2 linked regions of the Lytechinus pictus genome follow. The protein of the gene in region 1 purifies or fractionates together with the protein of each later gene. This does not show direct contact. Links are inferred from orthologs where the notes say so. Each region holds a gene or a part of one and is shown on either strand. Other genes may lie near its edges.

What was found.
Region 2: the proteins of cytochrome b-c1 complex subunit Rieske, mitochondrial-like (region 1) and complex III assembly factor LYRM7-like purify together in Homo sapiens (co-immunoprecipitation; 5 studies listed by BioGRID and IntAct, with this or other methods). This does not show direct contact. The link is inferred for Lytechinus pictus from reciprocal best matches to the Homo sapiens genes UQCRFS1 and LYRM7.

Annotation. Positions count from the first base shown.
Region 1 is NC_087246.1:57,301,421-57,305,354, reverse strand, and holds the start of cytochrome b-c1 complex subunit Rieske, mitochondrial-like, read left to right. Parts: upstream 1-1,255; 5' UTR 1,256-1,602; coding exon 1,603-1,816; intron 1,817-3,934.
Region 2 is NC_087247.1:67,193,603-67,197,536, reverse strand, and holds the start of complex III assembly factor LYRM7-like, read left to right. Parts: upstream 1-787; 5' UTR 788-1,006; coding exon 1,007-1,018; intron 1,019-2,559; coding exon 2,560-2,632; intron 2,633-3,934.

The sequences.
Region 1 (3,934 bases):
ATTATTAGAATGAGCAAAAAGAGATGTTTTGGGGTATATTTTTAGCATCCAAAAGGGGAGAGTTGTTCATCAATGACATCATAGATCTTGGTCGCATTGCCAATGGGAGGATCTCCATAGCATTAGTGATCTTGACATTCAAATGCTCATAACTCTTCTATTGCTTGTCCTATTTTACTCAAACTTTTGTTGATCTTATTCTTTGATTTTTCTGCTTTCACAAAAGCTAACTTGCTCCAAGAGTTTCATTCTCCTTTAAGGCCGCAAGTAAAGGACATTTCGCACCAGAAAAAAAATTGACAAGCAAAAAAAAGGTCTTCAACCACAAATAAAGGACATTTCGCACCATAATAAATTTGAAAAGCAAAAAAAAAAGTCTTCACTTTCAAAGGGGGGGGGGTACACTTCTGTTTTAACGGCATTTTTACATTACAAATTTTAATTGTGCCTCTCAATGTGCCCCCCCCCCCCCACTAAACTGGAAATACGTATTTCTAGTTCAGTGCCCCCCCCCCCTCCGATCCGCCAGTGCATGGACCGAGGTATGGTGACCGTGTCCAAGCATAACGGACTCTTTTATTTTGTGACGGCACAGACAGACGAGCATGCAGTTATTATTATAACGTCGTGTGATAGGCCTACCAAATCCAATGAAATGACGTATACTGCATGAGTGATCCCAAAAATGAATGATTCAAGTGACTTTCCCAATATTCGCGTTGGACAGGCCTATACGATACCCCTTCTATATAATAAAAATGTAATTCACCGGCACTGTCCATTATAATTTGAAATTTATGGAATATATAGAGGAAACTGCTCGTATATTTTTGAAAAAAAAATCATAATTATAATGTATACAGTATGGGACAGTATGACAGATTCAACTTGTCTGATAACGTTATATCAATGTTTTGTATCGGAATTTTCCATTTTGGAACGTCATTATAGTCGCTTAAAAAGTTTTTTTTTTAAGTTTAAAAATGGAATCATAGTAATTCCGGGTACCTTCGAAAATAAAGCTTATAGAAATATAGAGAAACAAATGTGGAGGAGAATGAGATTCTAAAAATGACTGATCGAGAGCACTGGCCCCCTCGCTCGGGTTTGACTCCGACAAATTGTTTAAACTTTTGAACAATTAGTAAACAAAATATTGTGTAAAGTTGTGATTGTTTTTGAATAGTTAAAAAACTTTAAACAAAAAAATCATTTGTATGCTTCAACGAACATAATAGTGCATGCACTGGACCTCACGAAAATTGTTGAAATGGGTCTAGGTTGAGAACTATCGGTTGTACTATGGTCCGAGTTTTGCTTAGGGCGCGATGTTAATCTTTCAATGGAAAGGTAAAGGGTAAAAGGCACAATTATTACTCGGAATATGGTAATTTCTTGAAGTTAATGATATTGAAAAAGACAAATTCATTGATATCACAAATTTTTAGTGACAATTTATAACCGTTTACTGCAAACCCCGCAAACTCGAGCAAAATCATTGAGCAAACAAGATCATGATATCAGTGACGTCACAGGCCAACTTCCGGTGTTACTGTAACATCGAGAAAAGAAAACGCCGGGTGGGTTAATCAATTATTAAAAATGTTTTCGGCTGTTTCCAAAGTAGGGGTAGTTGCTCCATTTGTGTCCGCAACAGCTCAGAATGTAGGATCTCAGCTTAGACAAGCAGTCGTCACAGCTCCAACATTTTTTCACAAATTCACATTACCTGAGAAGGAAGACAGACTTACGTCTGAGAAGCTCGGCGCTTTGCTACCGAAGAGTCATGGTACACAGGCTACGTGTGGAGTCCAAGGTAATGTGCATTTTAGGGTAGTGTAACTAGTGAGAGCAAATGAGTAATATGAAAGTGATCTGGACTCTAAATCTAGTGACTTTTATTAAATTTCATGTATCAAACACAATCATTTTGGTTAATTATCAAATGTCCACCATAAATAATACTTGACTAGCCTTGCCGATGGCCACGGTCGGCTAGCATGGGCATGGCTAGAAATATCTGACTATAGACATATTATAGTGACCATAATTTGCGCACATTTTAAAAATTATCATGAAGTTGATATTCAATCAAAAATTTCTCACAGCTCATGCAAAATTAATCAAAATCATGAATACCAAACGGAAGGCAAGATCCTAAAAGTCAAATTCGCTTGACGGGATTATAATTATAAAGTAGGTCAAGGGTTTTGCTGGTATCGCTATCGACTAGTGCGCGCTCGGCTGAAAAAGTGTCATAAATAAGTGTGACCTTAATTTGCGCACAATCGTTTTGCAAGGCTTTAGAAAAGAAATCAAGCAGACAAAGGTAATATAATTGTATCAGATGGCAGTTAAAATGCCATAAATTCGGTTGGTATCACATTTTACTTATTTGGAGACTTCCGCTTGCAAACTGGCGAATTCTTGATGCTTGTCGAGAAGTTCGGATTTTCTCGGAGCGGAGGCATAAGGTAAAAAAATTTGCCGATGTTTTGCCAATATTTTCATTAATAGAGACCGTACCTTCAAGAAAATTACCATACTGGGCAGGCCTCTACAAAAAAAATTTTCATCACTTGCCCAACAGGGCAAGTGATGAAAATATTTGCTTGCCCGATAGAAAAAACTGCTTGCCCAATTTGTTTTATTATTATCTTTCATTGTTTTTTTTACGACGGTACTATTATTTATGAAGATCATATAAATAAAAACAATTGAGAATCATGTACAGTAAAGAACACACATTTATAATTATAAGTATATTTTCAGCAAAGTAGGCCTTAGTCATTACGTTTATTTTGAAGAAAAAAAAACTTTTGCTATAGCACTAGTAGATCTAAATGGGCGTTAAATGTTTTAAAAAAAATTGTTTTGATTTAGTTGGAAACTATTAAGAAAATGAAGAATATTCAGCTCTTTATTGATTCTGGAAAAGATCGTTTTATGATGTAAAAAAAAAAAAAAAGGCCTTCACCAACTGGACTCTGGAGTGGCTAAAATTTCACATTTTGCATCTTTAAATCCATGCCATTTATTTTCCATATTTCCTTGAAATTGTGTTGATTTAGATGGAAACTATCAAGAAAATTAAGAATATTCACCTCTCTCTTGTCTTTTCATCATCGTATTATGATGTTACACTCGGTCAATATTTTTTTATATTGTGGTCCCACATGTAGACTTTCATGGTGTTGCAACATTATACTTGGTCAACACCATGAAAGTCTACATGTGGGACAACAGTAAGAAAAAACATTTACCGAGCGTAACATCATCAAAATCAGAGTCAAGAAAGAGCTTAATATTCTTCATTTCTTCGGTTGTTTCCAACTAGATCAAAACAATCTAAAGGTAATATGAAAAATAGACGTCCATTTCATGTATTTAAAGATTAAAAATGTGAAACTTTAGCCACTTTCGCCTTTCTTTTTTTTTTTTTTGTGGAGGGGGGTTGCATCGGCAAATTGCGCAAGATAGTAGCGCATGCGCACATAGAACGTATGATGAGATGGCATGATTCTTCGAACGAGGTACCTGGCGATAAATTATCTGTATTTGGCGCTGATTTTACATCAGTTTCCACTGTTTTTTTACTGGTTTGACAATATATGAGAGATAGTTGTGATTATCACTGACATTTTATTATTTTATTTTCAAAACATTCACTTGCCCGATCAGGCAATTGACTTTGAGAAATGCTTGTCCGCCAGTCATTTTCACTTGCCCCGGGCAAGCGGGTTTGTCGCGCTCTGCTGGGTAATTTTAAGTCGCTCTTTCTGTTGGTGATATAAGTTTTTCAAAATATTAATTAGATATTGGGGTATTCGCCTGTGCGCAAAATCACAGTGTAGGTAATGCGCGAATTTAGGTCACACCACCATACATGTAATTGTATATTTTTGGCGCTAGACCTCAGCCTAATCTCTAACGT
Region 2 (3,934 bases), on another chromosome or scaffold:
TCTTCTTCCTTGGGTCGACAAAAGTCTTCTTTTCTTACTTATGAAGGAAAATTCAAAGGTTAAAGAAGTTTTAATGAAAAAACAAAATAATTTAAGTAAATAAATACATTTGTAAATAAAATTTGACAGCATAATTCGAAAATCATGGCGAAGATAATGAAAAGGTTAAAAGGAAGCCTGCTGATTAGCAAAAAGTCTGATCATCAAATTTCTAATTTCTGCCATTTTGGCGCAAGCCTCTTTTTGAACCCCCGACCAAAACGTCCCGTGTTCGCTCAAGCATGAACAATTTTTTTTAAATGGCATTTCAAAGATAAGATTTCAGAGCATCTATTAACATCTAAATATAGATATCATAATTTGAAACAATTTTTTTATAGACTTTTCAAAACTGTCCCGTTTTTTTATACGCACTGTATGGGGGTGCACATTTTCGCCAAACAGTCTGGCAAACTGACACTAACATTGGTGTGAAAAAGCACAGTTACTTAAAGAGATCGATGCATACTGCGGACTGAAAATAGTATACAAATTCACAAAAAACAAAATGATGAAAATTTCATCAAAATCTGATAATAATAAATAGCAAAGTTTTGGCGTGTGTGCCAGGTCTATGTAATACATGAAATATCGAGACATTATTTATCCTATTAATCCTCACCCCCATCGAGCCTTTGTCGAACGCAGTATGGATCCGCCCCTGAATAAAAATTCACTAAAGGCGGACGAAAATCCCCCCCCCCCCCCATTGCGATCGACATTGCCAGAGCCGCTTGCGCGCGCTGCCGAGGTTGTCTGAATTACACATAATAGTCAATAGAACCAAATCCGCCGAGGAACCAAATCTGCAAACTTCAAGCCGCGTCAAACCCGGCGGATATGGTTCCGATTAAAAACGATATCGAATCCGCCGCTACACCGGCCGGTTGAGGTCACTGATCTCAGTGGTTGACTTGAGGTAGGCGAATTAACGCGAACGAAGTTGGAAACTGAACTCTGTCCCAAGATGCGATCACAGGTAAAATATTTTGAAAATTATTTATTCATTCAAACTATTGACTCTACCTTTTCAAACAATTTATATTTGTTAATTGATATGAGTTTGTACGGGGTCACGATCACCTCGGGCTTCGCGGGCTGGCTCAGTCATACTCATAGGACTCAGCTCCGGTCCCTCGCCATGCCCATGGGCATGGCCCATGCCACGATGGGCGGATGAAGACGCCAGGGCCAGCGCCACTGCCACTGCGAGTCCTGTGTCCGCGGCCGACCTAGGTCCTAGCCACTCACACGTATTGCGAGGTTAGTATTAGTATACTATACTGGGTCCTAGCCTTGACTAGCCAGGCGGCTTCTAGAGAGTAAAAATCATTTACTAACGTAAGGTCACTCTCATTACGTTAGTAAATGATTTTTACTCTCTAGAAGTGACCTTACGTTAGTAAATGATTTTTACTCTCTAGAAGCCGCCTGGCTAGCCTTGACTGAGAAGTTGAAGACTCCATGATGATATTTTTTAATATTTTGACATATACTTCTTCATCATCAGATCATGAAGCCTTGAACCGCCTGCCATATATGTATAAGAGACATTTGTAAACAAAGATGGATTTCCCTAAGACCCTAGGAAGTCCATCTTTTAAAGATAAAAATCACGTAGGCCTAAATGTTTTTTATTTTATTTATTTTTACATCTTCATACGCCTAATGCGATTAGCGATGTTACAAAATGCCGTTATGAAGAACAATTTATAGATAAAAATTATTATTTAACAAATACTAAAATTTTAAGACGTGATTATGAATAATTATTATTATCAATTATAATTCCTTGGTTAAGCAGACAACATTCAACACCAGCGCTCAACACGAACTGCCGGAAATACATCATATTTTCCTAGGTCAATCTCAACACCAGTATCATTTCAAGTACGGTGTTGACTGTTGTGGCTGGTGTTGGTGTTGTCATACACCAGATTTCAACACCGTACTTGCAGAGCTACCAAGTCTCACGCATTGTGAGCGAGACTCACGCATCCAGGGTCCGTCTCACGCATGGCACCCTTTTTTCTCATGCATCGGGACCCGACAGAATAAAAAAGGAGAAAAAGTAGCATTATTCGCTAAATTATACGCATTGGCCGACCGCCTTCGCACGCCGTCGCGTCTACCCCGGCACGCGAGACGAATCGAGAGTGCAGTCAGTGCACAGCTAGTCCGTGATACGATGAATCGCTTGCGTGCATCGCATGGTATTGTAGTATGGATCGATATCATGATGAAGCCCATATCTTGCGCGCGCGCGCAGAGACGCCGAGTCATGAAAATCTCACGCATAACATTTTTTTGAACTTGGCATCTCTGTACTTGAAATCACCCAATGAACAAGGACCGGTTCTGTAATATTCATAATACTCACTGTGTGGGGAAATGAGGTTGGCAATGTTTGGCTTATTTTCTCTTGTTCTTGGGGGAAAAAGGAAAACTTTCTTGCAATTTTACTTTCCACCAATAGACGGCATACACAAAAAGTTTTTTTATCTTTCATTTTAATCATAGGTCCTATCTCTGTATAAGTTGCTGCAGAGAACAAGTCAAAGCACTTTTCTTGGAGATTTTAAAGCTCTTGAAGGTAATTATTTCTTATTTTCAAAACAGGGTAGTGACACTATAGACCAGGGGCATCGATCCGTTTTTCAGATGGGGGGGGGGGGGGGAAATCATGAGTCACAAATCAACATTACAAAGGCGCTCGATCGCACAAAACAAACAAACTCACACATATTATACATATAAATATTGAACATTCTGAGCAGTGTTTGTGATCTTGAACAAGATGTGTATGTAACTAAATAATTACTGCGAGAGCAAAGTGCAAGCATTATTTTTTTTTACGTTCTGGGCCTGAAAAGGGACATTTTAAGGACAGTTTTCAGTTACCCATGAAAACAAAACATAATTCAATAATCAAATAATGCGAATGCTAATCGCGAGCAGAAAATTTTGTCATTCCGCGTAAAAACAGGAAATTCTAGGCACTTTTTGTAATCATGCACAAAATCGGTATATAAATAAATAATTTTTATTGATGCGAGCACGAAGTGTAAGCGAGAATACATTGACAGTTAGACCTGAAAATCGGACACTCTGTTAATGTTTTGGAAATCATGAAAAGGATGGGTAATTGGGTATCTTCTAAATACATTTCTTTTATTATGAAAGTCAATGTGAGTGTGAAGCGCGAGCTGCAAAAAAATATTTTCTATTGTGAAAAAGGGTCAATTTATGCACTATTGCAAGCACTGTGTAGGGAAATTGAGAAGTGGATATGGATCACAATGAATAAATGGTGCGAGCACAAGGCGCGAGCTGATATATTATTAGTGTTACATGTATTTTGATTTAGAACCGGGATATAAAGACATGTCATCATATATGAAAATGATGACCATCCTCCTATTCCTCTTCCTAAGCTCAAGATGAAACTTGTTGATATTCCAATCTGAAAAAGGAATAATTTGATTATTAGGAATTCGTGGATATATTATTGTCTTATTTATTAATCTTTAAGCCTAATGAGAGCACAAAATTTGTTGATATTAAGGTCGAAAACTGGACATTTTAAGCACTATTATAACGATGAATAGCATGCATGGGTTAATACATTTTTAACAATCGATGCGAGCGCAAATCTCGAGCTGAAATTTTTGATCAACTGTCATGGAAAGGTTTTTTTAAGTAGTTGTTAGAATTAATTTAGAGATAAAAGAAACTCACCTGGATCCGCCTATGAAAAAAAGGGTTTGCCATTTTCTTGTTTATTCATTGGCAGAAAAGAATTCTATGCCTATATGATGAGATTCCTGTGTAAATATAGGACCTATCTTTACAAAAGTTGCAATGATAGATGGAATAATTTTCCACGTGGAGCGCG